Linked DNA regions of Rattus norvegicus. The protein of the gene in region 2 interacts with the protein of the main gene of each other region in a pairwise test. Links are inferred from orthologs where the notes say so. Each region holds a gene or a part of one and is shown on either strand. Other genes may lie near its edges.

Region 1 (4,146 bases), on a different chromosome or scaffold from region 2:
AGGGATATGGTATTGTGAGAAGCTGTGTACATTGCACAAGCTCTACATGGTGGCCAGGTAATACTCGGGACAGCCCTAAGCATAGGTTCTGTTACTTTCCATTCACAAATGAGGCTTAGACACTGTGTCATCTCAGCCAAAGTCAAACAGGCCAAGCATGGTGACTCCCCTAGAATCTCGCTCAGAAGATGGGAGCAGGGGAAATGCCAAGAGTTCAAGGCCGGCTTGGGCTGCATAGCACCAGAAGAGTGAGCTATAGTGAGACCCTGTCTCAAAAAGGCTAAATAAATCAACAGCCCGTGTTTAGTCACTTTGTCATTCTCAGAACAACATACTCTACCCTTCAAGCCCACCCTCTGGGCTTGCGGTCACTTAATGAGGCTGGGCTGCTCTGTTCTAAAAAATCTTTGGTTGTATAGGATAAGTCAGGGGCTTTGGCTACTACAGCAAGGAGTGAGACTTGGCTTTGCCTACTGGTATCGGGTGGGTTGACTTCTGCAGTGAACCAGCCATTTTCCCAAGACCACAAGGTGTGGGGTGCTCCTGAAGCCACGGCTCATGAAGCCATGGCTGAAAGGTAGGGTGAATCTGCACCTCACTGGCCTTCAGCCTGTCTATATGTTCGGGCTAAACAGAATTTCAGTCCGCTAACAAAAGCTAAGGGTGCAGCATGGGACGATGACATGCTCAGCCTGCTCAAGGCCCTGGTTTCTGTCAGTACCTATAGAACAAAGGCCTGAAGACAGCGGGCCCTGGGGCCGAGTCTAGGAAGGCAGCTACAGCTCAGGGAAGCAGAACTAAACCCAAGTAATCTAATAAAGTACTCCCTACCTTAACGGCCAACTAGATGGGCGTGGGCACGTGCCTCTAACCCCAGGAGAAGCTCCACAGGGAGCTCCAGGAGAGCCAGGAATGCGCAGTTAAGACCCTGTCTCAAAACAAAAAGCAAGACCAGTGGTCTTCCTGGAGGACCATGCTGTTCTCAGGGTAGGGTAGATGCTGGTGGGAGCACTGGCTGGAGCTGTGGCCCATCAGTCATGGTGCTTGCTTAGCAAGTGCAAAAGGCCTTGGGTTCCATCCCCAAAACCAAAATGGCAAATCCTTTGTGGACTTGTTTCAGAGAAGAGCCAGAAGTAGGTGAGGGGCACACACACCCCCAACATGTTATATTCCAGCCCTCCCGCCTCAAGAAGGAGGAGTGGAATCTAACTGAGACACGACACAGGCCAGTTTTCCCTGCCCCAACCTGGTAGGACTCCACAGGAAGGGTCTTTAGCTAAGCCCAAGGCAAGAAGGGAAGGGCGGGGGGCCAGTCCTGGGTGAGTATTCATATGACATTTCCCACTCCCTGTCCTCTGTTGAGATGGGAAGAACTCTAGGTAGGTCTGGGTTTTCAACTGTTTGGAAGGCTGAGAGATAGCAGATTACAAGGTCAAAGCCAGCCTGGGCAAGTTAATGAGAACCTGTAATGCCTGCCAGGTATGCACAAGGCTCTAAGTTCAGGCTTCAGTATCCTGGAGAAGAAATCCTGGGTTTTTGGGGTTGGGGATTTAGCTCAGTGGTAGAGCGCTTGCCTAGCAAGCGCAAGGCCCTGGGTTCGGTCCCCAGCTCTGAAAAAAAAGAAAAGAAAAAAAAAAAATCCTGGGTTTTTGTATCATGATGAGCTTGTGCATACTGGGGTGTTTTCCTACTAAGCAAATCATGGAACCCCCCCTTCCTCCCCCCCCTCCCTCCTTCCTTTTTCTTCAAGATAAGCTTTCTCTGTGAAGTCCTGGCTGTCCTGGAATGCTCTCTGTATAGACCAGGCCCGGAACTCAGAGATTTGCCTGCCTCTGCCCCCTAAAGCACTGGTCTTAAAGGCGTGTGTCATCACCAACACACACAGTTTTCCCAGGTCTTACAAATGTTCTTTGGAGCGTTATTCTCCCCCAAACCACACTCCCCCTTCTGGCACCCTGTCTGTATCTCAGATAGCAGCTTTCTTCACCTTATCCCGGGTGCTGATCGGATGGGAGAATGGTGCAGGCGGAAAGCCTACGTGTACAGTGGTGTCCTCTTGCCCTGCCCTAGCAGCAGTCTCTGGCCGAACCCAGGGGTGGCCGCACTCACTGAAGGTCAGGCTGGTGAGAACGAGGGCATCTTCCAGAGAGAGGCCTCTTCTGTACTCTAACGTGGAGGGGGAGGACTGTTGCTGACTGACCCGCGTGAGTCTTCACCTCTTCCCAGATCGAATTCACTGATTTTCTTTAGTTTACCTCCAGGCCTCTAGGTATTTCTTCCTACAGTACTCTCCATCTGCTGTTCCCTTTCGGGATTCAATTTCTAGACCACCATGCTCTTGCTGCCAACCTCCCTCCTGCTTTCACTGCCCCCTCACCTCCAGATCGCCTACATCGCTTCCTAGAAAGCTTCCCAGCCCGGACCTCTGCAGCCACGGCTGCCTTTCCGCCAACCCCTCGAGCTACGGAGGCTCACCAAGCTTGGACCGGGACAACCTCCTCCCAGGAGGCCGGGATGGGGTAGGGTCGGGTGGAGTTGCTCCAGCCCAGACCACCCTCAGCGCCCCAGTATTCCCAGCCTGGACTGGCAGGGAGGTTGCAGGAGGCACACGGGGCCCTCCAGCAGGAGCTCAGCGCTAAGATCTCCTCGCGGGCCCTCCTGACCCTTGGATCCTGCGCCAGTCGTTCGCTCACCGAGTGACTTCATGTAGTCATCAAAATTCTTGCTGTCCACTAGCTTCCAGGTACCGACAAAGGCGTCCGCCATGGTGCAATGAGAGAGGAGGCGTGCAGGCAGTGAGAATCGCGGCTCCCGGCTGGAGAGTCTCTTTAAATAGCCCTCGCATCACATGATGAAAGTGGCCCACACCCCTTGCTCCCGAAATAGGAAGCCCGGGCTTGCACTCCCTCAAGGGGCTAGCGCCCATCCCCCACAGCCCTCCGGGCGCCTACGTCAGCGGCGCCCGCGGTCCCGCCGGTGCCCTCTAACCCATCCCTGCCCGATTGCCCGGCGCTCCCCGCAACCCAAATAGAGCATCCATCCCACCGCCATACTGAAAGGAAACTCGCTCTTGAGCTGGCGTCACGCTGGGGAAACGCCGCCTGATCCTTCTGGCGCCTTGTTTCACTGTGGTTTTATTACAGTGTGCGTGGACGTGTAGGCGCGCTTATTGGGGAGGGGGAAACTGGGGCGTTGCAACTCGCGGGAGTCATTTCTCTCCTTCCACCGTGTGGGTCCCACGTATCAAACTGGGGTCGTCAGGCTTGGCAGCAAATGCCTTTACCTAATGACCCATTTCAACGGCCCTATGTCCTCTTCTTGTAGAAGAGGCGCGGAGGCTCGAATGGGAATGACGCGGTCACCATAAGTAGAAAAGATTTGGAGCCCGGACAGAGAACGTGGTCTAGTGGCCCTTGAGCCTTCTTGCTTCATCCAGACAAGTGGAGAAGAGTTGCCTTGGACACCGCCGAGGCTGAGCTGCCCAGCGCCTCACCTGCTCTGGGAGAACATGACCTTGCTTCCCTCATGCTAGCCCCACACGTGCTTGCCCCTCCCTGCGGAATGTCTCCTGCCTGCGCCTCTCTCCGCAGTCCCACTCCCCACCGCTGCCTGAAAGCGCTCCAGGCTTTTCTGACCTCTGAGCTAGCGCCAGGGTCGTTCTTCACTCCGCGTAGAAAGTTTGTCTATTCAGATAGTTCTTCTGGCCTCGGCCACCTTAACTGCCGGAAAGCCGCGACCCTTTTCTGGAGTCAGTTTTATCTCTGACTTCTGCCACTAGACTGTTTGACACCTTAAAGCACTTTATTAAATAAGACCCACTTCATGGATGGTTGTAGCCGGCTTTCAGGACATGGACCCACTGAACTTTTCCATTGGTAGGTGGTATCTTCTCCTTTTCATAGGTGAGTAAAGGAAGCTCAGTGGAGCCCGTTCCTTAGTTCAGCAGTTTCTGTTTAATTATTACCAAGTCGGCATCTCAATGTGTAGCCGGGCTTGACCTTGAACTAAAGATCTTCCTGCCTCTGTCTCCTGGATTACAGCTGTGTGCCGCTGGCCTGGCGTCAGTCACTAGTTATTAAGGCACCTGGAAGGCAAGAGAATCTTGAGTTTGGGGCCAGCCTGAGCTACATAAGGAGGATCCTCTCT
Region 2 (4,179 bases):
CAAGGACCTCATAGGGGCCCAGGGGGGCAGGGGCCAGGGGGAGTTTCCCATAGTCTACGAGCCAGCCCAGCCCGCTAGCTGGGAGCAGGGCCCTGTCCAGCTCCAGTCCCAGGGTCGCCAGGAGTGACATGGCTGAGGCACAGGTGCAGGGCTGCGATGGCAATGGAGGCTGCACCAACAACTGGGAGGCAGCGTGGAAGATTGTTCAGCTGGGTGAAGACAGGCACCAAGGCGAAGGTGGAGGGCCTGTGAGGAAGACAAGGTGGCGTGGGTGGGGTTGAGTCAAAGCTGCTTGACCCACAAGCTACCCACACTTTTCTTCTTTCTGCAAATTCCAGAGCTCCATACATTCCCAAGGCAACTTTTGGAAACTCCCCAGCCCCATCTCCTCCCTCAACACAGAAACCTAGTGTTCTCCCAGGGGAATTACTTCCAGCCCCTCCTACCTACCTCATCTTATTGCTCTTCGTAAAAAAATTCAATCCCAAGGTAATTTTATTTTCTTCTAGCCGTGCCCCTTCCGCATCAATATTTTCTTTAGACTATACGCCCTTTAGAGTTCACAGGGGTTCCCAGAATAATTCTGCCATGCCTTGGGCCCTTCATCAGTGTTACACACACAAATCCCACTCTTCCCTTAAAAGTTTTAGGTGACTTCTACAGATTCTACGGGAAGCCCCGCCCACACTCCTGTCTGTCAAGTCAGTTCCCGCCCCCAACTAGCAAGTCCCTAGAGGCCCCGCCCCTTGGTTCTAGCTCCAAGTCTTTCTTAAAGGTGTTCTTTAGCCTTCCCTGTCAATCTAAGCCAGTCCCCGCCCCAGCAGGTGCCTGATTGGAGGGAAGTTGGACCAGTGTCAGAGCCTCGAGGAACTCCACCCTTCCTCGCTGATTGCTCGCTAAGCCGCAAGACGAAAGCTCAGACCCTGGACCGGATTCATTGTTACGCCACTACCCTCCTGGGGGGACCAGTGCGTGTGTTTAGCCAATTACCGGCCGCCCTCCGTAGTTCAGGCCGGGAATAAGGTAATGCGCATGCGCAATAGAGTGTGGGTTCGTATCCTCTGAGGGGAAAGGAGGAAGAGGGTCTGTGAATTAGTGCGCAGGCGCAATGGCGCGCGAACCGACCTTAAAAGCCCCCAGACTCTGCGGAAGCACACCCTCCCCCACGCCTGGAGCCTAGTGCGCTTGCTCAGCGGATGCGCCGGCCACCGACTTCCCTCTTCTGCGCCTGCGCGACCGTGGTTCCTCATATCGTCTTCCCCACCCCCTCCCCACGAGGCTGACCCGTGAAGCCCCGCGAGCTCTGTGAAAGGGCGGGAAAGGCGGTTGGAGAGGGAGGGGCGAGCGGTTACTCACTCCATGGCTGCGAAAAGGAGAGGAGGCAACGGCGGCGGCGGCCTCAGTTGAAGAGTCGGTGTGAGCAGAGAGTGAAGTCGCGGTGAGCGCGGAAACGGGGCGGGGGACACGACGAGATCGCGGCTACAGAGCCATTGCACGGGCGGAGGCGGCGTGGCAGGAGCGTTAAGGGAGACTGCTGAGAGGGTTGAAAATGAGGCGGCCCCGGGGCCTGGGAACAAATATACCGGGGGCGGCGCAGCGCGGGATGCCTGGATCCCTCCGCGCTCCGCCCTCGCGGGGCCCCGACGGGGCGGTGGCGACCCCGGGCCCGCCATGTCGCCCTGACCCTTCACTCACTGCTTCAGGCTGGGGGCCCGGACTCTGTTTCCTGTATCGGTTGGATCCTATTCGATCTCTCTTACACCCGTAACCAGCTCATCCCGTTATCTATCCCTGCTTCACAAATTTGCCACCAGTCCCTAAAACCGATGTCGCTCCGAGAGACCTCGTGGGTTAAGCTCATCGCGGAATGGCGAGTTCAAGCTAGCTTAGGCTTCATAGACGAGTTCAAGGGAGCAACAGCGAGATGTCGCTGTTTATAGATATACGCACAAATATACCAGCTATGGAAAGTAGGCCACGGAGTCCTAATCAGGACTCTTAAACCTTCTTGTTTGTTTTAACGTTTATTGTGTATGTATGTGGTGGTCAAAGAAGAGCTAGCAGGAGTTGGTTCTCCTACTATATAGTAGGGTCCCAGGGATGGAACTCAGGTCAGATTGTTTGGCAGCCTTTCTCCACTGAGTCATTTCATCTACTACTAAAATCGTTTTATTTTCTTTTAGATTAAGCCCCCACCCCTGGGAGGGGGCCTGATTTCACCCCTTTTTATCTCCCTACCCCCGATTCTTAGCCAGCCAACATATCCATATGATCATTCTGTGTGTCCCACCTCCAAGGTTTCTGTTTCCAGCCATCCCTACTTGCTACATGCTGTGCTCATCATGCCACCCTCTTAGGTTTTGCCCCTTGCTCTGACTTCCTTGCAGTCCTTGCTCTCTTGCTGACCCCACTAGATAAATTGTTTCTTGATCCTGTCTGTCCCCCAGGATGATGGGGCGGTTTTCCGCCCCGTGTTCGAGTATAGCCGTCATTCCATGTGGAAGCCAGTCAGCCTATCATATTTGTAGCAGCTGAGAGACTGAATGGGTGGAGATGGAACTCAAGAGTGCTTGCCTGTTGCACACAAGAACCTTAGCACCCAGCACCACATGGACGGTGCTTGGTAGTTGTCTATATTCCCAGCATTTGGAAGATGGAAGCAGAAGGAATCATGAATTCAAGGTCATACTGGCTGGCCTCAGTGTGTTTTTAAAAAGAAAAAGCTCAAAGGCCAGGCCTGGTATCTTACCTACTTAAGAGGCCAAGGCGGGAGTATTGGAAGTCAAGGTCAGGGCCTGAGCTGCTTTGAGATAGTTCAGGTGGTAATCTCTAAACCCAACCCTCTTGAGTTCCATCCCCAGAACCCAAAAGCAACTCTATAGACAGACGGTTGTCCTCTGGCCTTCACCATCACCACGTGTGGTGACAGGTCTGAATGCTGACTAGGAGTGTGATTTAAAAAAAAAAAGTTCATGGCTTGCCTGGACTAGAAAGTGAGTTCTTAGCCTTCTAGGGAACTTACAAAGACCCTGATTTAAAAAAACAATTATACTGGGCTGGGGGTGGGGGATTGGTGGCAGAGTATTGGCTAGAGTGCTGCTTTCCAGGACCTGGTTTCTATTCCTGGTACTGTAAAAGAAAAAAGATTGGAGCAGGTGAGGAAAACTGATTTTGAAAGTTACAAGCAGGAAGTCCTTGGCAATTTTACTCTTGGAGTGGGCTCTCTTAAAAGATTTATGTATGAGTACACTGTAGCTGTCTTCAGACACACCAGAAGAGGGTATCAGATCCCATTACAGATGGTTGTGAGCCACCATGTGGTTGCTGGGAATTGAACTCAGGACCTTTGGATGGGTCAGTGTTTTTTTTTTTTTTTTTTTTTTTTCCCAGAGCTGGGGACCGAACCCAGGGCCTTACGCTTGCTAGGCAAGCACTCTACCACTGGGCTAAATCCCCAACCACCACCACCACCCCTTTTTTCTTTTTTTCGGAGCTGGGGACCAAACCCAGGGCCTTGCGCTTGCTAGGCAAGTGCTTTACCACTGAGCCAAATCCCCAACCCGGGTCAGTGTTCTTAAGCGCTGAGACATCTCTCCAGCCTGGAGTGGGCACTCGTATCTGCTGCCAGTACAGGTAACCATGAGATGTGATGTGTTCAGACTCCAGCCCTAGCTTACCAGCTATGGGCTGCATTAATTCTGTGTGGAGTCTGTTTAGACTAGATACTGATGCATAAAGGCTGCCACTAATACAGAAGTGGAATGGACCCATGGCTTCATGCATTGCATGCTAGACAGGCATTCTACCACCTGAGCTGCATCCCTGGGCCCCACAGGTGCCCTTTTTTATTTTTGAAACAGTATGCCATGTTGCAATGCCTATGGTCCTCCTTTCCTTGAATTTAGTATTTTAAAGTAAACTTTTGGAATGAGATAGGTTTCAAAGACAGTGCAGAGTGGGTACCAGCTCATAGTCTCTTCCCTGTGGTGCTTCCGTCACAGCCAAGGCTGCACAACCTTTTTCTGTCCTGGGGTCCCACCCAGATGCTTCCCCCACCCCTAAACCCATCTTAATTTCAGTTGTGCTTGGTGGTCATCCTTGGAGGCCTGCCACCCTGAGCTTTGGCCAGTACCCAGCCCATGCTATGTGTCCAACATGTGTGTTATTCTTTGTCTATAA
Region 3 (4,099 bases), on a different chromosome or scaffold from region 2:
GATCCACTGGAGCAGCGCCAAGCGACGGTACATCACCAAATGCACATGGTGTTTCTCCTTCTCCTGTTCCTTGTAGCGCTCCTGAGCCTGCAGCTGCTGCACGGCCTGGGCCACAGAGGGCAGAAGGGGATCCAGGGGGCTTGGACCTCGAGGGGTGCTACAGCCAGCTTCTGCACTGCTGCTAAAGCTGCTGATGCTCAAGGAACTGCTGGCATAGCCGATGTCCTCCAGAGGAGAGCAGACGCTGCTGGCATCACTCGACTTCTCTGGCTCAGCACCAGGGATCTCTGCACCCTCCGGGGGACTGCGGACTCCGGCCTCAGGGAGCCCAGTGGCTTGGAAGACCCGGTTATCAGAGGGCGACTCAGAGGAGCTTCTTATCAGAATAGGATCCACACCATGCCAGTTCTTATTAGCATCCTTAGCGCTCTCCACGAAGTTGGAATTACTGTCTGGTTGGAGGTCCGGGTGACATACTCCAGGAGGCAGGCTCCCCAGGTACTGGGCCCCCTCTGCTAGTCCTGGCTGGATAGCAGCAAACATCTGGACTGTGAAGGAGAAGCAGAAGAATGAGTCACAGCAGGAGAGGATGGAATGACAACCTTGAGCCCAGTAACCTCCTCGTGGCTTTCACAGAGCGGGGTTTCCCTTTAAGGCTGCCCATCTCGTCATTCTACAAACTTCTCCCCAGGTCACTTCATCCTGTTACAGCTTCGAGAACCATCATGTGTAAGCAACTCTCAGATCCGTGTCCAGCCCAGATTCAACCCCTACTCAACCTTGTGACCTACCGCCGGTTCTTCAAATTCTACACATCCAGACAGCTCTCCTTGCAGCGTCCTCTGGCAGGACACTCTGCTGAGTCTAGCCACCCAGATGCCTAGGAGGACCTGGACTACTCACCCTCCTCCCATGGCCACCTCACTGTCCACATCTTGTCAAACTCTCCTTTAGCTCTGGTCATTTTGACCCAAGTGATTGTCACAGCCATTCCACTGACCCTCCTCCAACTAAAAATACAAACTTGGGTTGGAGAGAAGGCTCAGCAGTTAAATGGACTGGCTGCTCTTCCAGAGGATCTATGTCCCATTCCTAGCACCCAAGTCAGGTGGTTCACAACTGCCTGTATGGCTAGCTTCATCCCAACCTCGTCTTCTGGCCAATTTGTTCACCCACATGCACGTGTGCATACACAGATATGCTAATGTTTTTTAAAAAGACGTTCAGCTAAATAACAAATTATACTTTCAAAAGGAACATATGTCTACATGTATGTAGATGTATAGATATGGACAGATATATTCCATAAGAGAACCACATTTCCATGACGATTTATAACAGTAGCAAAATTACAGTTACTAAGTAGGAACAGAAGCTGGGCGGTGGTGATGTACGCCTTTAATCCCAGTGCTTGAGCCCAGAGGCAAGTGGATCTCATGAGTTCTACCACCAGGCTGGTCTACAGAGAGAGCGAGTTCCAGGACAGCCAGAGCTACAGAGAGAAACCCTGTCCGGAAAAACAAAAACAAACACAAACAAACAAAAAGGAAGTAGCAACAAGTTACTACTTGGGGGTCACCACAGTATGAGGAGCTGTCTTAAAGGGTCGCAGTGTTAGGAAGGTTGAGAACCTCTGCTCTAGAGCAAACCCAGCCAGCCATAGCAGGTATCAGTAATTACCTGCAGAGAGTGACTAAGGGGCTACCGTGGGGCTCCTGTTCTTAGGAAGACAGTAATAATGCCAGAAGGCGGCTACAGCAGAGACCCAGGGCTTGAAGCGCTGGTCTCTTTCTCCTCCTCCACACTAAGGAACCCCTGTCTCCTGAACCCACAATGACAAGCCTCTCTTGCAAGTCTGTCCCTTCCCCTCTAGTGCTCCTGGTACATGTTCATGGGACTCAGTTTGCTCCATGCTGATTTTCTCCCTCTCTCTCTTCCCTAATAATCGCTTTTGAGTATGAACTGACAAGACGTTCCATTGACCACACGTCTATGACCAGAAGGAAGAACTGAGGCCTCATGAGTGAAACATACCATTAAGTCAATCAAGCAGCCACTAGGAAGGTTCCCCTATAGGTGGCAGGGAGCCTCCCCACACCCAGCAATAGGCAGAAGTCATGGAGACTGAGGTTGGGACAGATGTTTCCACCCCTTTGGCTTGTAAGAAAAGGCCTGAAGACACCCCCAATCCCCCCCCGCCCCATACACACATACATACTCTATTTTAAAAATTTCCTAGGGGCTGGGGATTTAGCTCAGTGGTAGAGCGCTTACCTAGGAAGCGCAAGGCCCTGGGTTCGGTCCCCAGCTCCGAAAAAAAGAATAAAAAAAAAAAATTTCCTAAATTTGGCCAGGCTTACAAAGAAAGTTGGGGTGGGGTGGGGTGACAGTGGGGTTAAGCATCCAGGCTCAAAAAGTCAGTGAAATGAATCCAGACATCCCAAGATCAGGATCCCCCTCTCCTCCCAGCTAATCTATAGTGTAGGGGTAAGGGAGGGGACTGTAGCACGGGGATTGGCAGCCTCACAGGGGACAGAGAGCACAGTGACCCTGATCTCTGCAGAGGCAGCTCCCCAATCCACCCTCAGGCGGCTGGGCCCCAAGCACTCCATCAGGGCCCGGACTCACGGCCTAGAGGCGCCCGCTCCTGCGGGGTTTGCTATGGTTCCTCGGGGCCTGCTCGCTGTAGAGGCTGGGGGTGGGTCCTGGACCTGCGCGTGCACGCGCGGTGGCGCGGCTGCCTGGTCCTGGCACAGCCGTCCCAGCCCCAGCCCGGACTGCGGAGTCCAGCGGCGTCTGCGCGGCTGGGCGGGGCGGCCTGACTCACGTGGGCCGGTTCGGTTCTCCGCGCAGGAACTGCCTCCTCCCGCGGCTTGACCCGAGAGCCTTCTAGGTCCGGTGTCATCTCCTAACCACTCTGGCTAGGCGCCACCGATCCATCGTTTTTCCTGCTGTAGACATAGCGACGAAATAACTCCTTCCTGGGTTTCTCAGTGGCTAGGAAATTGGCGAGGCCGCGGTGCACGTCCCATCCTGCTGCAGCACTCGCTGCGGTCCTTTCCCTGCTCCAGCTCGTCACGTTTTCTGCTGAACTGTTCATCCCCATTTACTTTTAGGATCCTTGCTGACTCCTAGACCTGTTTTGTTTGTTTGTTTTTAAGTCCCTTCACTGTACTATACCTATTTGATGAAACGCACTTAGTGACAGCTATGCGGATGTTATTGTTTTGTTTGTTGTTTTGAGACAGAGTCTCATTATGAAACCCTGGCTGTCCTGGAAAGCACTACGTAGAACAAGTTGGCCTCCAACGCACAGTGAGATCCGCCTGCCTCTGCCTCCCAAGGGCTGGGATTAAAGGCGCGCTCCATCACCTGCAGCCAGTTTTAAAGATTTTATTTTTTATTTATGTATATGTGTTAGTGTCTCTGTGTGTGCGTGTGTAACTAAGAATGGAATCCCACTCCAGGTAAGTCACAGTTCTTCCTTTAGACAGGAGGATTTCAGACTATGGCTGCAGTATCACATTTCCTGACACCTGGAAGAAGCCTGTGTAATAGGGGAAAATGTGCGGCGCTGGAGCGGACACCCAGGAACGGAGACGAAGACACATGGCTGGCTAATGCCCCAGCCTCTGCTTCCTGAGTTTCTAGTTTTGATGCCTTCCCATGAAGTTCATATCTTGCCATATCCAACCCGAGTGGAATTTATCAAACTGGTAATCAAAAGATTCTTGAATTAATACACTAAACGTGATGAGGTAACCCTAGATTCTGATCATTCCCTGTTACTGTGTAGCCATTTACTCTGAACTGAAGCATTAGAGGGAGGGTTGTGAGATCCAGAAGATTCCCGAGGGCCCTCTTCAAGGTAGTGAGTGACCTAAGGGGTTGCTGGGGCAACAGAGACTCTTCAGTGGAGCTGCCTGCAAGTTGTGCTGGAAGCTCCAGGGATGCAGACTTTGTGAGTGGTCACTTAGCTGGATTCCGGTTTTCAGTGACCTAGCTGCCTTTGAGCTTTTGATGGCCCTGTGAGTGAATCCTGACTGATAACCAACCCTGGTCGACTCATCGGTTCACCAAGGAGACTTTGATGGGACTG
Region 4 (4,297 bases), on a different chromosome or scaffold from region 2:
TGAGCCATCTCTCCAGCCCCAGATTTTGAATTCCAACTCCTCCCTCCGACAAAGTTGTTTTTGCAATCTGTGCATGTCTTTCTGGACTCCTCCTTGAAGGAGGAGATGGGATGAAACAAACAGTAAATGCTGCTCAGGAGCTCTTAGGGGACCTTGGTGACCTTAGGGACATCAGGGAAAGCCCAAAACCATCTTTCAGTTCTACTGCTGGGAGGCCTGGTGGCGATTCTCATCTACTGAACTGGCAACCAGTGACAACAGTGACTAACACACTGCCTCAAGCAACAAGATGGTCTTAAACTTCCAGAGTAAGGAATGTAATCAGTGCTCGGGTAGGAAGAGAAATTAAACCTTAGAAAAATGGGCTCCCCCCCCCCTTTCTCTCTCTCTCCCTCCCTCCCTCCCTCTCTGAGCAGCCTTACCGTTTTCCCCTTTACCCACTCCGTGGCTAAGGAGCTGGAGGCAATGGCGGAGCCGCAGCCAAATGTTTTAAATCTGGCATCCACAATCTTCCCCTTTTCATCCACCTGGATCTAGAAAAGAGACGGGAGCTGAGAGGCCACAGCTTGACACCTGGAATCCGGGAGCCGGGAACTTCCAGAGGTGAGTGTTCCACACGAGCCCTGGTTTGCTATGACTCCACATGCCATGACATTCATCACTGTGTTTTGCTTCAAAGGACTTGGCGACAGAAAGTGAAACTTGGGGTCCACACAGGCTCAGCTGGGAGAGGGGCAAGGAACAGTGCCCCTCACCCCGCTTGGTTGTTTTCGGCCCTTGCCTGCTGTATGTGAGTGCCTATTTTGCAGGGGTCTGTTTATAGATGTCCCCCCATCAGCACCTCAGGCACTGACAGAGTCTGTAACCAAGGTCTCCATCAATCCCTTTCTCTTGGGCACCAACTGTAATTAACAGCTCTTTTCTGCCTGCCATTAAGGAGGCTGAGGCTGAGCTAAAACTCCAGCTGACCTAGGCCCAGCCCACCACCTTCCACCCCGCTTCCTTTTCCTGGAGAGGTTTGGTTAACACATTCCTTTTCTCACTGGGGGCCTTCATTTGGTCAGAACAGTCACAAAGTCTTTCACTCGGTGAAAGCAAGATCTACCGATGCCTTGGTGTGGTGGTGTTGTGGAGAATGAGGCCACCTGTTTCGGAACAGAGACCCATCCTTGTCAGCCGCCCATCCCTCCTCACAGGAATGGCAGACAAGATGAAATGCTCTGTGAGCAAACTTCTTGTTGGGGTGCAGGGGGTGATCCTTTTCATCCAGCCAGTACCTGCAGTTTCATGACGTCACCACATGCCGGAGCCCCCACCAGTCCGGTTCCAACATTTTTAGATGTCTTGTCAAGGGACCCCACGTTCCTAGGGTTTTCATAATGATCCACAACCTGAAATGGCAGATCAACAGATATCACTGAGGCTTTCCTCTCTCCCTCGGATCAGCAATTTGTATGGGACAGAGATAGGAGCTCAAAGTGAGACCTAAACTCTATCTCCTCCCCAACGACCTTTGTACTGGAGATACGTCCATGGTATCGGTGAAAACTCAGCCACACCTTCATTTCAAGGGGCTGTCAACCAAAAGCCATCAGTTGACTCAGACATTCTACCAGGTCTGTGCTCAAGCACCATTTCTGTTTTTACCAAACACAATACACAAAGAGAATTATACACTTAAAAATCCCAAGAATAAAAATGGCTCCAAATGTAAGATTTCCCAAGAAGTTTCAAGGTGACTGTTAGAAATGAGCCGGAGGTTGGGGAATGAATGAGTCATTGGTGGCTGTAAACAAACACGCCGCCACCCCGATGCAGGAGCGCCCTCTGGTGCCTTAACGCTGCCAGCTCGCACAAGGTCCTGTAGCTAATGTCAACAAAACAACCTTCCCTTTGGGGTGAAGGCCTTGGGCAATGGCACCCAAGCCAGAGCAGAACAAACAGCCATTAAAGTCAGGGACACACCAAGATAAAAACCGAGTGCCCTCCACCCCCCCCCCCAGCCCCAGTCACCAGGAGGCACCCTCATCTGCACCTTGAATCTAAGCCCTGGGGCTCCATCACGCATCATCTAATCAGGACTTTTGGTGTTTTGTACAGCTTGTGGTAGTTTTGTTTTTTTCGAGTGAGTCTCATGTCAAGGGGACTTTAACGTCCCTAGAAGGCGGGGGCCGTAAACTACCCTTCCATACTTTCTGCTCACCACAAATAAATAACCGAGAATCGAAGTTTTATGTTGCCTAGGTGCTTGGCTGAGCTCGAGGCCATCAGCTCCTATAGTAAACGTCATAAGTGGTTTCCATTTGTTGGACCGAGCGCTCTACACACAGGGACTGCAGAAGACCCATGTGAGATCTAAGAGAAAGGTTGGGCAAGGGTCAGTGACTTGCTCAAGGCCAATTAGCCAGGGCAATGGCCTAGCTGGTGAGCATGCCGGTGCTGCAACGTGTGCTCATGCATGTATGTGTGCTGCCCCTTGACCCCCGGCACGACATACCAGGACCCTCCCTTCTGGGCTGTCAGAGTTGGGACACTTGGAGTAGCGGCCGCGGCGGGGCTGAGGTGGCCGCGGGGTCCTCGGTGGTTATCTGTGCAACAGCTGCAGGTCCCCTCGATGGTTCGCGTACCCCCTCGCCCGCCCATACCTTCTTGTGGTAGAGCCTGGCAGGAGCCGACAACTCCCGGGCGGGCAGGCGCGGGCTCCGGAGCAGCAGCGCGGACGCCGCCCGCCTCAGACGGCCCGCTCCAGCCGCCGCCATCTTGCCGGCTTGCACCTGCGTCGACCTCTGCGACGCCGAAGGGAGGGCGCGCTTGTATGACGTCACCGCTGCTTGGCGCTTGCGCTCTCCGCTCCAAGCGCGTGCACGCGTTTCGGCCGGTCTCTTTGGTCACGCCTCCGGAAGGGGCGTGGACGCGGCGCAGAGCGGGAAGGTCTGAAGCTGCGGTCACGTTTGTCTGGTGCTGCGATGGGCGTGGGGCCGCCCAGAAGTGGGAAGCCGGGCCTGACTTGCCCGAGGATGCTCAGACTCAGGCTTATTTGGGATTCGAGCTTGCATGAGTCTCTGTTCAGGTTCAGGCTTTTTTTTTTCTAATTCAAAGGCAGCCGTTTCATCTACGGAGCAAATAACATGTCAAGTGTACACTAGGTGTCACTAAAAAAAAAAAATTCCTGGGAGTCCCGAGGAAAGCAATTCCTGTCTCGTTAACCTTGCTGATGAAGGAGAAAGGCAGTGCAGAGGAAAACAGCAGTGTTCTTTTTTTTTTTTTCTACCTCAACAACGAGGAGTATAAAAGAAACAAACACCATACCTCCTCGACATGTACATGTTTGTTTTACAATCCACTGCATCCCGAGACGATACTTACTGTAATGTGTTAGCATTGGCTATATAGTCACAAAATCGATGCGTCTAACACCTGTTAGATACTAGGTGCTAGAAAGGGGAGGGAGCTTTATACTGAGAGATAGGCTTTTCTCGTGAATGGTGCATTGTATCGCGGAGGAACTGGAATTTTGTCCGCACCTGAGGGCCGGTTGCTGCGAAACAACAACGCACTGGAGCGGGCTGAGCCTTGCAGAAATCCTTTAGTCCAAAAAAAAAAAAAAAAAAAAAAAAAAAAAAAAATGACTTTGACCTTCCTAAGATGGCGTCTGGACCTTAACTATGGCCATCACGCACACACAACTGCCGGTATGGCTGCCACTTCCGGTCCCAAGACCCAAAAGCTGTCCAAGGTCGTAGCCCGACGCAGGTTATGCTAGTGAGCCTTTCTTCCTGACAGTGGCGTCCAGAGACGCCTAAGGATAATATCAGTGGTGGAGTCTTCACGGCTTCCTCCGCCCTGAGGCCCTTCGTGCCACTTCCGCTGGCGCCGAGCGGAGTTTTGGTCAGGCAGACGCCACGGACAGCCTAATGTTCGCCGGGCTTCGGCGGGCGAGGGAGGACCCGAGAATCGCGGGCTGCGCAAGATGGCGACGGCGACTGCATCCTCGGCGTCCGAGCCGGAGGTTGAGCCCCAGGCCCGGCCTGAGGCTGAGGGAGAGGAGGATGAGGCGAAGCCGGCGGGTGTGGGCAGGAAGGTGCTGTCCAGCGCGGAGACAGCCAAAGCCAAGGGCCCTGAGCGGGAGGTGCACCAGGAAGGTGTGAGCGAGAGCGATGGGGATGAGGAGGACGCCGCCATGGCTTCCTCCGCCGAGAGCTCCGCCGGGGAGGACGAGTGGGAGTACGACGAGGAGGAGGAGAAGAACCAGTTGGAGATCGAGCGGCTGGAGGAGCAGGTGGGCCGGGGTGGGCGG
Region 5 (3,945 bases), on a different chromosome or scaffold from region 2:
CACACACACACACACACACACACACACACACACACCATTTAGAGAACCTACTTCAATCTGAAGTCCTCTGCGGCCAGCTTAGCATTGTCAATTTGCAAGACGCATCGGGCGTTTTCTATTTGAGCATCCTTAATCTGGGAAATGTGAGAGGAAAAAAGAATGACATTTTCCCTTTGGGAAGGAGTGTAAGGTAATTTCATTGGTCCTCAGAGACAACTGTGATTCCATCATAAGTGATGTTCGTTTCAAGAATGACCGTGGGAGAACAAGAGGAACAGTGACAGAGGAATTAGTGTAGTGGCTTGGCCTAGTTTTTTTCTGATCATACGAAATGAAAGCTGAAGTCACCCACATCGCTGGACCTTTTTGAGCGCCTTGTTTGTGACACTGCTCACACTGGAGCCTTGCTGTTAACCCTTCTTACCTGGTGAGCTCGAGCTCCTTCCCCTCAGCTCAGACAACACTGTTTCGAAGTCCCCCACCCCATGACATCTTCCAGTTCTGGCAGCGAATGCACCCCTGCTGCTGTTGCCCCCACAGCATCCCTGCATCTACCCTTTCAGTGATGGTTTCTTTGGTCCGGGCCTGTTTCACGTCAGACACTTCATGTGCTGTCATTGTTCGCCATGTGTGTTGCTCAGGACCCAGCCGGTGTCTATGCAGTAGTGGCTGAATGGGAACTTGCTGTCTGTGCGAGTTAGGCACAGGACAGAAGGATGGGTGCACCCTGGATCCATGTGCATCTTTCTCTGTGTGTGCGTATGCGGAGGTCAAGGGACAGCCTTGCATGCTATTCCTTAAGTGCTACCATTTTGGGGGGTGAGGCCGGGTCTCTCAGTGTCTTGGAGCTCACCAATTAGGCCAGGCTGGATGACCAGCAAGTCCCAGGGGTCTGCTTGTCTCCACTCCCCCATCGCAGGGAGTACAAGCACACATTCTCCAGTTTTGTTTTTTAATCTGGGGACTGAACTCAGGTTCTCGTGTTTCAAGGCAAACACCGTGTTCTTTAAGATGGATGAGAATTAGAAGTCTACTTCTAGAAGATAGTAGAGTGGCATATCCCTCTCAGTGGCTATTCCTGGCGAGAGGCCACTCGATAGGCCTCAAACTACTGGACACTGAGGGCTGTGCCTCAGTATCACAGAAAATCCCCATGTCAATTCAGAAGCATCGACCTTGTGAGAAGTGCTTAATTTGAATTTTGTGTTGTATCAAAAAGCCCGAAGTACGGTCCTGGTGATGAAGTAATGTGAGCACCATAGCTTGGTGGTCTGTAAAGTCTGAAGTTAAGCTGCACTGATGTCTGTCATATAACCCAGGAAGAGGCCCCTGGCTCAGTCAAAGGTCTTTGCTCTAAAGGGGTAATAACTTTAAGATATAAACAAAACCAAAGGGGAGGCCTTTCTTGATTAGATAAGAACCCCGGAGCTAAGCCAATGGTACGTGCTAATGCTGACCTCCTTAGTCAGGAGCAAAGTCTCCAACTCTTATGCCATTGCCTTTATAAAAAGGAGAACCCCACCTACCGTGGATGATACAGGAGCAGATGGTGATATGACTGTAATAAAGTTGAATTGGGGGCAATAGAACATTTCATTATCGCACAGATGCATTATAAAATGCTTATTGATAGTGAGGAGATAATTAAACAAGGCATTAAAAAATCCAGGTATCAGAATTGTTGCATGATAGCACACTTCTTTAATCCCAGTGCTGAGGCAGTGGAGGCAGGAGGATGGTGAGGTCCAGACTAAACTGGGATACACAGATCTTGTATCAAAGACCAATCCTTCCTTCCTTCCTTCCTTTCTTCCTCCCCCTTCCTTCCATCTATCCATCCATCCAATCATCTATCATCCAACCATTTATCAATCAGTATAGATATCATTAATATCTGTATTGTGTCCACCCTGGAGCCTTTTGTTATTTATTCCCATAGTAGGTTAATACTTTTATTATAACATTCATATAACGAAAGATGAAAAATCTCTTCAAGTTGACTTGAGTCTTCCGAGTTAGTGAAGACAAGTAGCAAACTCACAGAAACCCTGGCAGGTCTCTGAAAAAAATAAGATCATTCACAACGAAGACCTTATATTGTAAATCATAGACAAAGATATAGGCTGCGATCTTGGATGATAAAATGGTCATATTTTATATGCAATTAGGTTGAAGTTTTAGAAAAAGCATGGGTTAAACCCATCCTGTTGACAGATACCACGAGATAAGATGCATTTTTTCAGTTATAAATTCCGACCTAATCTGCTTCATGTGTTTGAATTCACCTAGCGTACATCTCTCTTAATCTATTAGGCAACTGAACAGTGAGGTAGAAATCACGGACTTCATGGCTCACCTGATCTTGCAGCTCTTTGATCTGTGCGTAGTAGGAACTGTAGTCCCGGATGGTGCTCGGTGCATTGGTTTCGTACCACTGCTTGATCTGGGCTTCAAGTTTGGAATTGGATTGCTCCAGGGAGCGCACTTTTTCTAGGTAGCTTGCCAATCTGTCATTGAGGTTCTGCATTGCCAATTTCTCATTGCCCCCAAACAGGTCCCCTCCGTTGGAGAGATGGTTCCCGTAGCTCATTGTGGTTTTGGAGACAGAGATGCGGGTGCCGTGGCCTCCAGCCCCACCGTAGACGCTGGGTGCAACCCCCAGACGCTGCATGGTCCCCTTTCTATACAGGGAGCCACTCGTGCTGAGTGCTGGGCCTTGTGAGGAGGAACTCAGACTTCTGTGGAAACTTCGACGACTGAAGTCCATCTTGATCCCGGGAGGCAACACCTGTAGCCTGGAGTTGGAGCACACAGCCTGTCTCACGGTGCTGTGGCGCTAACCTTTTATAGAGTTCAAGAGACTCCTCCCCTGCTGCAGTGTCACCTCAGAAATGACACAGTCCACCTTCCTACCTCCCCTCCCCCTCTTTTGTACGGAAATATGGTTTTATTCCATTCTAGAAATTACCACTAGAGGCACTTCTTAAAGGCTTTCTGGGGGTGGTGGTGGTGGTGGTGGTTTCTTTTTAATAAACAGAGGTAACAAAAAGGACGAGGAAGGGGTGTTCTTTCAGGTCTTGCACCTGCCCTGGCGGGTTTTTCCCTCTCTCCCCGTATACAAATAAAGAATATTTACAATCTATATGAATAATTTAGGCGCTGAACAAGGCAGCTGTGGGAGCATAAAGTAAGTCACACTGGTGAGAAAAGACAATGGCTTGTTCCAATGATGATGAATTTGAAAAGAAAACGCTTTGTTTCAGGCTCTTTAAAAAATTTTTTTTTATTTTTACTTTTAAGTTTATCCTTGTTTAGAACTTACGTTTACAGTCTATTGAAATATCTTGAGTGGAGCTGGGTAGGCTGGTGAGCACCTGTGATTCCAGCCGCTGGGAAGCAGAGGCAGGGGGATCAGGACAAGTTTGAGGCCAGCCTGGCTGAAGTAAGGAGTGAAGTCTAGCCCAGTGCTGTGTAACAAGACCCTGTCTTGAGGTGCACAAACCCACTCACCAAGAATTTGAGAACTGAGTATAGTCAGTAGGTGAATATGTAAATGAGTATCGGTAGGCGGTGGATCAGTTGATTTCGGAGTGTTTTTTTTTTAAAGATATTTTAAATAGTGTTTTTGGGTAATTTCATCCGTGAATATGCAATGTAATATCCTCCCAGACTCGCCTCTCCAACTGCACCCAGATCCCACACAACTTCATGCCTTTTTCATTTTTCTTTAAAAAAAAACCTGAATCTAATTAGTGTTGCCTGTATGACTGTGGGTGTGGGGCCAACTATGGGGGTGTGGACAACCTGTCCGTGGTCATAGAACCTCGTCCTGGCTCCCAGCAGCCTGCAACTGCCAGGAACTCCTAGGTTAGCCTTATTTAAAAAAAGCAAACTTATTATAGAAATCTTGCAAATATTTTTAAGTATTAGCATCTAAATGGTTGA
Region 6 (3,500 bases), on a different chromosome or scaffold from region 2:
TAATAAGCATAAAAAAGACAGAGTTTAGAAGATGTCTGGATGGTTGGACACATTAAAGTTCCTAGAAAGCAGAGTGTCTCTTCCTCATATCTCACCCACATAAATGTATTCATCTGTTTTCTCTGAAATATCTATATCATTTATAACAAAAACTGCTAAACATTAAGGCAGGCAAACCAAATATGAAAACCAAGCTATGGGAATATTAATTTATAGCCAAGTAATGAGAAGCACATATAAAACAATCTCGAGTTTCTAACTGGCATCTGAAGTGGTACTGGAGGGCAATCTTGAAGTCTCCCGAATGTGGGGGCTGGCACTGCTACCTATAAACGTGTCAGAATTAAAATGAAATTGTAAGACAACCTGCTGTTACCCACTAGAAATGACTGTTTGTTTAGAGGGAGAAACTGTTAAACTCTTCATAGTTGTGGATGTCTTCTCTATGCTGTTAAGAGTTGTTTTCCAACAGAAAGGAAATTTCATATTAAAATGACAGACAGGTATGCTGAAAGTTCAACAGAAAGCACTACAAATTTCAATCAATTTAACTAAATCAACACTTGTCCCTACATCCCAGAAACAACAAAATGTCAAGTTACACATTACAGTTTAAAATGTCCTGGAGTTTCAAAAGCAATCTATTCAGTTATTTTTTTTCTAGTTTCTTTTCACTACATCTTAAAAAGGAAAACTTTTAGCACACAGTAACAATACTATAGCGAAAATGCCTCCCATATCTCCACTTCAGCTATATGCTTTTACTTACCTAAAACTAGGAAAAGATTAGTGCAGCCTAGCTGTCAATATACAAGAATCATACTCTTTACAACATGGGGCTTTATTTAAATCTTGTCCCACATTTTTCAGGAATGACTGCATCATCATACGTTCTACTCACAGGGGCACATGGCACTGCTCAGGATCAGCTCGAGTCAGTTCTTCCTCTTCAATGTCAGACTCCCCTCCAGAGCTACTGTCTGTGACATCCGAATCAAACGCTTGCTCACTGCACCTCAGGTTGGCTATGCCACTAGCTGTAAATCTCTCCAATTCTTCTGAAATTGAATCACTTTTCAAAAAGTTGCTAAGTCCCTCTGAAGTGGCAGTCTCGCTGGCAGCTTTTCTCAAGGCAGCTTCAGCCTTTCGAGTCAACATCAACTGGCTCCTGGACCTTAAGGATTCCAAATTTGGCAGTTTACTCAATGTCTTCTCCAAAAATCCACCCAGTTGGTGCTGTAAATGTCTCTCCACCTGCTTGGCCTGCACAACCTGTAATCGCTTCTGTAACCTGCGGGCACGGATCTCAATATCAGCCTGCCGCCTCAGTAAAGCTGTTATCCTTGTGTCAGAGTCTAAAGCACTGAAGAGAATGGAAGACAGGGGAGACTTTTTGACTTCTAACTTCACACTTGTCAAGTTAGAGCAGGAGTCTGTACTGGGTGATAACCTGCTGCTTCCTTGAAGTGCCGGCTGTTCCATGGAGTTCACAGGAGATTTGTTTACAGTGCTATTATTGCTATAGAGAGTTGTGTGTTGTGTATCAAGGCTTCTATGTGGAAGAGTGCAATTGGTCATACCCCCCTTCAAGTTCCCAGAGTCAGATCCCCCCACCTCACCTCCTTGCAGAGATGATGAAGTGAGAGACCGTTTTCCCCCATTGAGGGAACTGGAATTGTCATGATCCGAATGTGTTGAACTTTTAGTCAATTTCTTAGCCAATCCATTTACAGGCGCTTGTGGCAGAGCTGTCTGACCACTTGTATTCATGGTTCTAAGATTTTCTAAGGAAAACTCCAAAACTGGCTGTCTCCCCAACAGCTCAGCTCGGAGTTCATAGGACTGAGATAAAAGAGGATGAGACTTAAGAACTGTCTGCTTGCTGAAAACGCCTTGCAATTTCAAAGACTCTTTTGAGGGAACAGATGTTACATCAGAGCAGAGATAAGATGCCACCAATGGCTGCAGCTTTCCCAAGTCTTCCTTGGTAGGATTATTGCGGAAGTCTAGACTGGGATCCTCCGCAGCAATGGCTTTTCTTTTGGTTCCGTTGGCAGAAATAAGAATATTGGCGTTGCCGTTATTTTCGGCACTGCCAGGGGACAAGGTGGAGGATGGGGGAGCCAGTTTGAACCGGATGTGGTGTGCTTCAGCTGCTGCGTCAGTGAGAGCGGGCGCCATCGCAGCCATTCAGCACAGAGAGACAGGAAGTCCAGCCTCTCCCAGTGCTGAGGCCAGCTCCACGGCCCCTTACTGCCTCCCCTGAGAACACACTGAAAGAGAAAAAAGGGAAGTCAGAAATACAAGCACATTTAAAAACAACCCACATTTTCAACAGAAGCACCACATGAGGCTATTGTCCAAACTTTGCCTCCAAAATAAGGAGAATAACTGTGAAGCCATTCTGGAACCTGGAGATATCTTTTACCTAGAAGGAGAGGAACACAATCCTTTACAAGAAAAGTAATTTTGCCCTTCATGTCAATTGTTAACTACAGACTGAATAGTGTCAAAACAGAAGTCTTATTTTGAAATAATCCCAAACAGTTATAATCACTTGTATTTAAAAGAAAACCTCTTTGCCTGGTGGTGGTGGTGGTGGTGGTGGTGGTGGTGGTGGTGGTGGTGGTGGTGGTGGTGGTGGTGGTGGTGGTGGTGGTGCACACCTTTAATCCCAGCACTTGAGAGGCAGAGGAAGACTGATCTTTTCTGAGTTTGAGGTCAGCTTGGTCTACAGAGAGAATTTCAGGACAGCCAGGGCTACACAGAGAAAAATCTGTTGGGGAGGGAGGACTGGGGTAACACAACTCTAAATGTTATATTATTAGACTGAATATGGTCCTAAGATGAATACCCAGTCATAGAAGAAAAGAATTTTATTCTCATAAAAAAGTTTATGCGGAGTTATTTGTCTGCCCAGGAATCTAGTTCTCACCAGTTTCTTCCTTACAAATTTCTATTGTATCACTAGGCTAACTACACCACACTGTAACATCAACTTTCATTCAGCACATATCTCTTCTCCTGGGCTCTTTATTTTCAGAGTAAATCTGTATCTTTAAGAGTCCAACATAACTCTCTCACTTCCCCCACACCAAAGCACTTCCAAGTAACATTTACCACTGCCTTTATACTTTTCACCTCTAGACTTTAGAACCTCCCCTATCACTCCAGGAGGGGTAACCAGTGTATAGTCAGCAGCCCTATCCTGACTTTTCCCTAACCGATAGGTAGTGTGGACTTCCCTGAAATTTTCTTTCATGATAGCCTTGCAACTATTCTATTCTCTTCTTCCTTGAGATCCTCCTAAAATAAAATGCTGGTCCTGCCCAAGATCTCTTCCATTTGCCTTCTCTTCAATTCACTTCCTTAGCAAAAACTACCAGCATGAGGACTACTAACTCAGAAAAAAAGGCAGAGAGAGGCATTAATCAGTGTTTTAATCCTCTAGCCCTTGAAACCTCAGAATTGACTTTCTTCTTCAAGATACTTTTTTCCTT
Region 7 (3,500 bases), on a different chromosome or scaffold from region 2:
CACCTCCTGTTGGATCAGGTGGGCACTTAGCTGCAGTTCTGCATCCAAGCGGTTCCGTTCTTCCCGTAGCTGCTCCAACTCAAGGCTCAGGTCCGTGTCCGGTGGGGGTGCAGGTTCAGGTGGGGGACAGCTGGGACAGCGATGATGGAGTCAGAGAAACCTCCCCAGCAACTGAGTGACCGGTGCCTCCACCCCTCCTTGGTCCCTCTGGGTCCTAGCAGCCAACAGGTTGTCCCCAACATCCACACACACCCCTCCACCTCAATGTGCCCGAACTTTACCTCTCCAGGCGCAACTGAACAAGAGCCAACTTTCGAGCCATCAAACCTGAAGAGAAGAGAGGACAGACAGATGAGAACACGTGGACAGAGGGTGGCGGGGAGCACAGGACAGTGATAGTTACCAAGGCAACAGAGGACAAACATGGGGTTAGATCCAGAGCTAAGAGGAAGAGGGCTAGGCCGGAAGGAGGGCTAGGTCATTCTGTGTACCTTTAATGGTGTGGACCTTACGGACAGCATAGCTGAGCCGGTTGCAGAGGCTGGGAATCCGGGCTACAGCCTGGTCCACCCTGGTCATGGTGCTCTGGAGTCTGGCCTGAGTGCTGAAGAAGATATAGGTCACTCACGGTCCTTCCTCCCCTCATCCCTTCAAGACCCGCAGGGTCTGGGGCAGAGGACACGTCTGTCCTGTCCTGGTACATGAGCGGGGAGTGTGGGGGGAGGGGGGGGGCTGTTAAGTAGCCAGCAAAGGAGAAACGGGAGCCTACAGGAGAGGCAGGACCTTGGCGAACCCTGCAGGTCAATCCAGCTCCTTAGCAAACCTAGAGGATCTAAGTGCTTAAGCTCAGTCAGAACATCTCAACTGGGGTACGGGTGTTCAAAGCCTGGAAGGGCTTTCTGGTAGCTTTTATTGAGAACCATGTATGTGATCTGGCAGAAAGTAAAACCCCAGACACGACACCGTAACATCTTCCTGGAGGCAGGCACGTGCAGAGCTTTGAATCTGGTTCTTCTAAACTAGTCTGACTCTGTCTGTGCAAGTTTAAAAGTTTCAGCTTTCCTTTCTGGTGCCAGGGATTGAAACCAGAGATTCCTGAATGCTGGGTAAGTGTTCTGCTACTGAGCTATAGACCAGCCCAGCTGTACAATTAGGGTTGCAAAAGAAGGAAGGAGGAAGAGAGGGAGGGAGGGAGGTTTGCACACGGCTGCAGTTCCCTTCCCTGACCTCCGAAGTCACAGCTCCTCCTAGCTGCCCTACTTAGCTTCAGAGCACAGTAGACCAAAGTGCAGGAAGCCGGCATACTCCATCCTGCATCCTCCTGCCTGCCTCTCTCTCTCTCTCTCTCTCTCTCTCTCTCTCTCTCTCTCTCTCTCTCGCCTGAGGCTCTTCCGGGCTCCTCCACCTGCTGCTCTGTGACAGATACCTGTTCATAGCACTGACCACGAACTTCAGCTGCTCCTCAGCAGAGGCCGCCTGCTGCTCCTGCCTCCACCTGGCCTCCTGCGCCTGACTCAGCTCCATCTTCAGGGTCTGGTAAGGATGCAGCTTTGTGTGCGCTCTCTCTCGTACACCTCCCTCCCTGGCCCCTGGCCCACAGACCCAGCCAGGGTCTTCTTCACCCTCCTTCCCTAAGGAGCTTCACCCTCCTCCCTTAAGGAGCTTCACCCTCCTCCCTTAAGGAGCTTCACCCTCCTCCCTAAGGAGCTTCACCCTCCTCCCTTAAGGAGCTTCACCCTCCTCCCTTAAGGAGCTTCACCCTCCTCCCTTAAGGAGCTTCACCCTCAGACCTTGGTGCTCATCCGCTCCACCTCCACCTGTGCAGTCTTGTCTTGTAGGGCACGCTGCAAGATGGCCTGCTCCTGGCTTTGGGCAGTCACTTGCTCCTGGAGCTCTGCTACCTACAGGAGCAGAGGGAACTGAGCAGGGAAATCTAGAGCCAAAGCTATGGGGAATGCCGGTGAAGGAGACGGGGCAGGAGTCTCCAGACTGGGGCTGCAGAGATGGCTCAGTGGTTAAGAACGCTGGCTGCTCTCACAGAGTTCGAGTCCCTTTTCCCACAGGATGGCTCGTAACCATCTGTAACTCCAGTTCTGGGGGAGCAAACACCTCCTGACTTCCATGGGCACATGGTACACAGACATACATGCAGGCAAAACATTCAGACACATAAAACAAAATAAACACACCTTTTCTTTCTTTCTAAGACAGGGTTTCACTATGTAGCTCTGGCTGTCCTGGAACTCACTATGTAGACCAGGCTGGCCTCAAATTCAGAGACCCTCTGCCTCTTCCTCCTACCTGCTGGAATTAAAGGAGTACACCACACCCAGCTAAATTAAGTACGAAAGAAAGAAAGAAAGAAAGAAAGAAAGAAAGAAAGAAAGGAAGGAAGGAAGGAAGAAAGGAAGAAAGGAAGAAAGAAAGAAGAAAAGAAAGGAAGGAAAGAAGGAAGAAAAGAAGGAAGGAAGGAAGAAAAGAACGCCCAGTGTGGTATGGTGTGGTAAGACGTACCTTTAATTTCAGCATGAGGAGGGGAGAGGCAGGCAGATCACTTATTGGCCAGTCAGGTCTACAAAGTGAGTTCCAGGACAGCTACAGTACACAGAAAACTCTGTCTTGAATCTTCTTTCTGAGTCAGGCTGCCCACGCTTTGGGAAACCATCCTGATCCCTTCCCCTGACTGTGCCACGCCCTGATGGATGCTGTGGCCTGCTCAGAGAGGCCGTCCCTGACCATCCTATCCATCCACCTCAGTCTTGTCACCACCGCTTCTCCGTAGCACGTGTATGACGATGTGACCCATTTTTCTGCTTCTCCGTGCGTCCTTCTAGGACTCAAGCTCCGTGAAAACGGGGACTCTTCTGCTCAGGGCTCTGTGCCCAGCATGTGGCAACCACCCAAAGACTAACTGTCATCACTGGGAGAGACACAGCCCCTGACCTGGTCCCTCAGCTGCTTGGTGGAGTCCCTGTGCTGCAGGTCCTGGGCTTTGAGCTGCACCATAAGGGCAAACACCTTCTCCCGCCAGCCGCGCAGCAACGAGCGGCACTTCTTAGGAAACTCGGGCTCCAAGGGGTCTAGAGGATGAATCTGCACGTGGGAAAGAAGGGAATGGATCTTCTAAGGAGGCGGGAACTGGTGACCTTGTCCTTCCAGTCCTGCCATCCACGGTGAGGCGGTTAGGGGTCTCAGTAGTATACCACCTACCTTCCCCAGAGAGGGAAGGCCTACAGCAGGGCAGGGTTTGGAGGATGAGGGAGGGGCCTACCTTCCTGGTCAGCTCCTCTTCTTGCAGGGCGAGCATGTGTGTGAGGCTCTGTACCCGTACCTGCAGTAGCTCCACGGTGGCCTGAAGGTTAGTCCTGTCCTCCTTCAAGTGCTGGGAAAAGAACTCCATCATTCAGGATCCCCACGCTACCCTCAGACCGAGGGTAGTCCCAAGGACAGCATGGCTTCCCTTCTAGAGGGCTATGCTCTCTCCTCCCAATCCATCCCCT

The links.
Region 1: the proteins of Nup62 (region 2) and Fabp3 interact in binary tests that used the Homo sapiens proteins (3 or more experiments, as listed by UniProt). The two-hybrid records come from large-scale screens. The link is inferred for Rattus norvegicus from reciprocal best matches to the Homo sapiens genes NUP62 and FABP3.
Region 3: the proteins of Nup62 (region 2) and C5h1orf216 interact in binary tests that used the Homo sapiens proteins (3 or more experiments, as listed by UniProt). The two-hybrid records come from large-scale screens. The link is inferred for Rattus norvegicus from reciprocal best matches to the Homo sapiens genes NUP62 and C1orf216.
Region 4: the proteins of Nup62 (region 2) and Iscu interact in binary tests that used the Homo sapiens proteins (3 or more experiments, as listed by UniProt). The two-hybrid records come from large-scale screens. The link is inferred for Rattus norvegicus from reciprocal best matches to the Homo sapiens genes NUP62 and ISCU.
Region 5: the proteins of Nup62 (region 2) and Krt20 interact in binary tests that used the Homo sapiens proteins (3 or more experiments, as listed by UniProt). The two-hybrid records come from large-scale screens. The link is inferred for Rattus norvegicus from reciprocal best matches to the Homo sapiens genes NUP62 and KRT20.
Region 6: the proteins of Nup62 (region 2) and Kansl1 interact in binary tests that used the Homo sapiens proteins (3 or more experiments, as listed by UniProt). The two-hybrid records come from large-scale screens. The link is inferred for Rattus norvegicus from reciprocal best matches to the Homo sapiens genes NUP62 and KANSL1.
Region 7: the proteins of Nup62 (region 2) and Cchcr1 interact in binary tests that used the Homo sapiens proteins (3 or more experiments, as listed by UniProt). The link is inferred for Rattus norvegicus from reciprocal best matches to the Homo sapiens genes NUP62 and CCHCR1.

What each region holds. Positions count from the first base shown.
Region 1 is NC_086023.1:147,934,779-147,938,924, reverse strand, and holds the start of Fabp3 (fatty acid-binding protein, heart), read right to left. Parts: upstream 2,801-4,146; 5' UTR 2,767-2,800; coding exon 2,694-2,766; intron 1-2,693. UniProt on the Homo sapiens protein: FABPs are thought to play a role in the intracellular transport of long-chain fatty acids and their acyl-CoA esters.
Region 2 is NC_086019.1:104,434,649-104,438,827, forward strand, and holds the start of Nup62 (nuclear pore glycoprotein p62), read left to right. Parts: upstream 1-1,379; 5' UTR 1,380-1,438; exon of another isoform or gene 1,439-2,963; intron 2,964-3,100; exon of another isoform or gene 3,101-4,179. Other genes in the region: Atf5 (cyclic AMP-dependent transcription factor ATF-5), read right to left, coding at 1-130. UniProt on the Homo sapiens protein: Essential component of the nuclear pore complex. The N-terminal is probably involved in nucleocytoplasmic transport.
Region 3 is NC_086023.1:144,183,782-144,187,880, reverse strand, and holds the start of C5h1orf216 (UPF0500 protein C1orf216 homolog), read right to left. Parts: upstream 2,801-4,099; 5' UTR 2,629-2,800; intron 2,164-2,628; exon of another isoform or gene 1,439-2,163; coding exon of another isoform or gene 1,354-1,438; intron 549-1,353; coding exon of another isoform or gene 544-548; coding exon 1-543.
Region 4 is NC_086030.1:48,515,897-48,520,193, forward strand, and holds the start of Iscu (iron-sulfur cluster assembly enzyme ISCU), read right to left. Parts: upstream 2,801-4,297; 5' UTR 2,760-2,800; coding exon 2,646-2,759; intron 1,392-2,645; coding exon 1,278-1,391; intron 534-1,277; coding exon 423-533; intron 1-422. Other genes in the region: Sart3 (squamous cell carcinoma antigen recognized by T-cells 3), read left to right, coding at 3,971-4,279.
Region 5 is NC_086028.1:84,887,486-84,891,430, forward strand, and holds the start of Krt20 (keratin, type I cytoskeletal 20), read right to left. Parts: upstream 2,801-3,945; 5' UTR 2,768-2,800; coding exon 2,357-2,767; intron 135-2,356; coding exon 52-134; intron 1-51. UniProt on the Homo sapiens protein: Plays a significant role in maintaining keratin filament organization in intestinal epithelia. When phosphorylated, plays a role in the secretion of mucin in the small intestine.
Region 6 is NC_086028.1:89,823,621-89,827,120, forward strand, and holds part of Kansl1 (KAT8 regulatory NSL complex subunit 1), read right to left. Parts: intron 2,274-3,500; 5' UTR 2,191-2,273; coding exon 902-2,190; intron 1-901. UniProt on the Homo sapiens protein: Non-catalytic component of the NSL histone acetyltransferase complex, a multiprotein complex that mediates histone H4 acetylation at 'Lys-5'- and 'Lys-8' (H4K5ac and H4K8ac) at transcription start sites and promotes transcription initiation.
Region 7 is NC_086038.1:3,212,766-3,216,265, forward strand, and holds part of Cchcr1 (coiled-coil alpha-helical rod protein 1), read right to left. Parts: intron 3,383-3,500; coding exon 3,272-3,382; intron 3,094-3,271; coding exon 2,944-3,093; intron 1,902-2,943; coding exon 1,791-1,901; intron 1,534-1,790; coding exon 1,427-1,533; intron 605-1,426; coding exon 492-604; intron 328-491; coding exon 282-327; intron 131-281; coding exon 1-130. UniProt on the Homo sapiens protein: May be a regulator of keratinocyte proliferation or differentiation.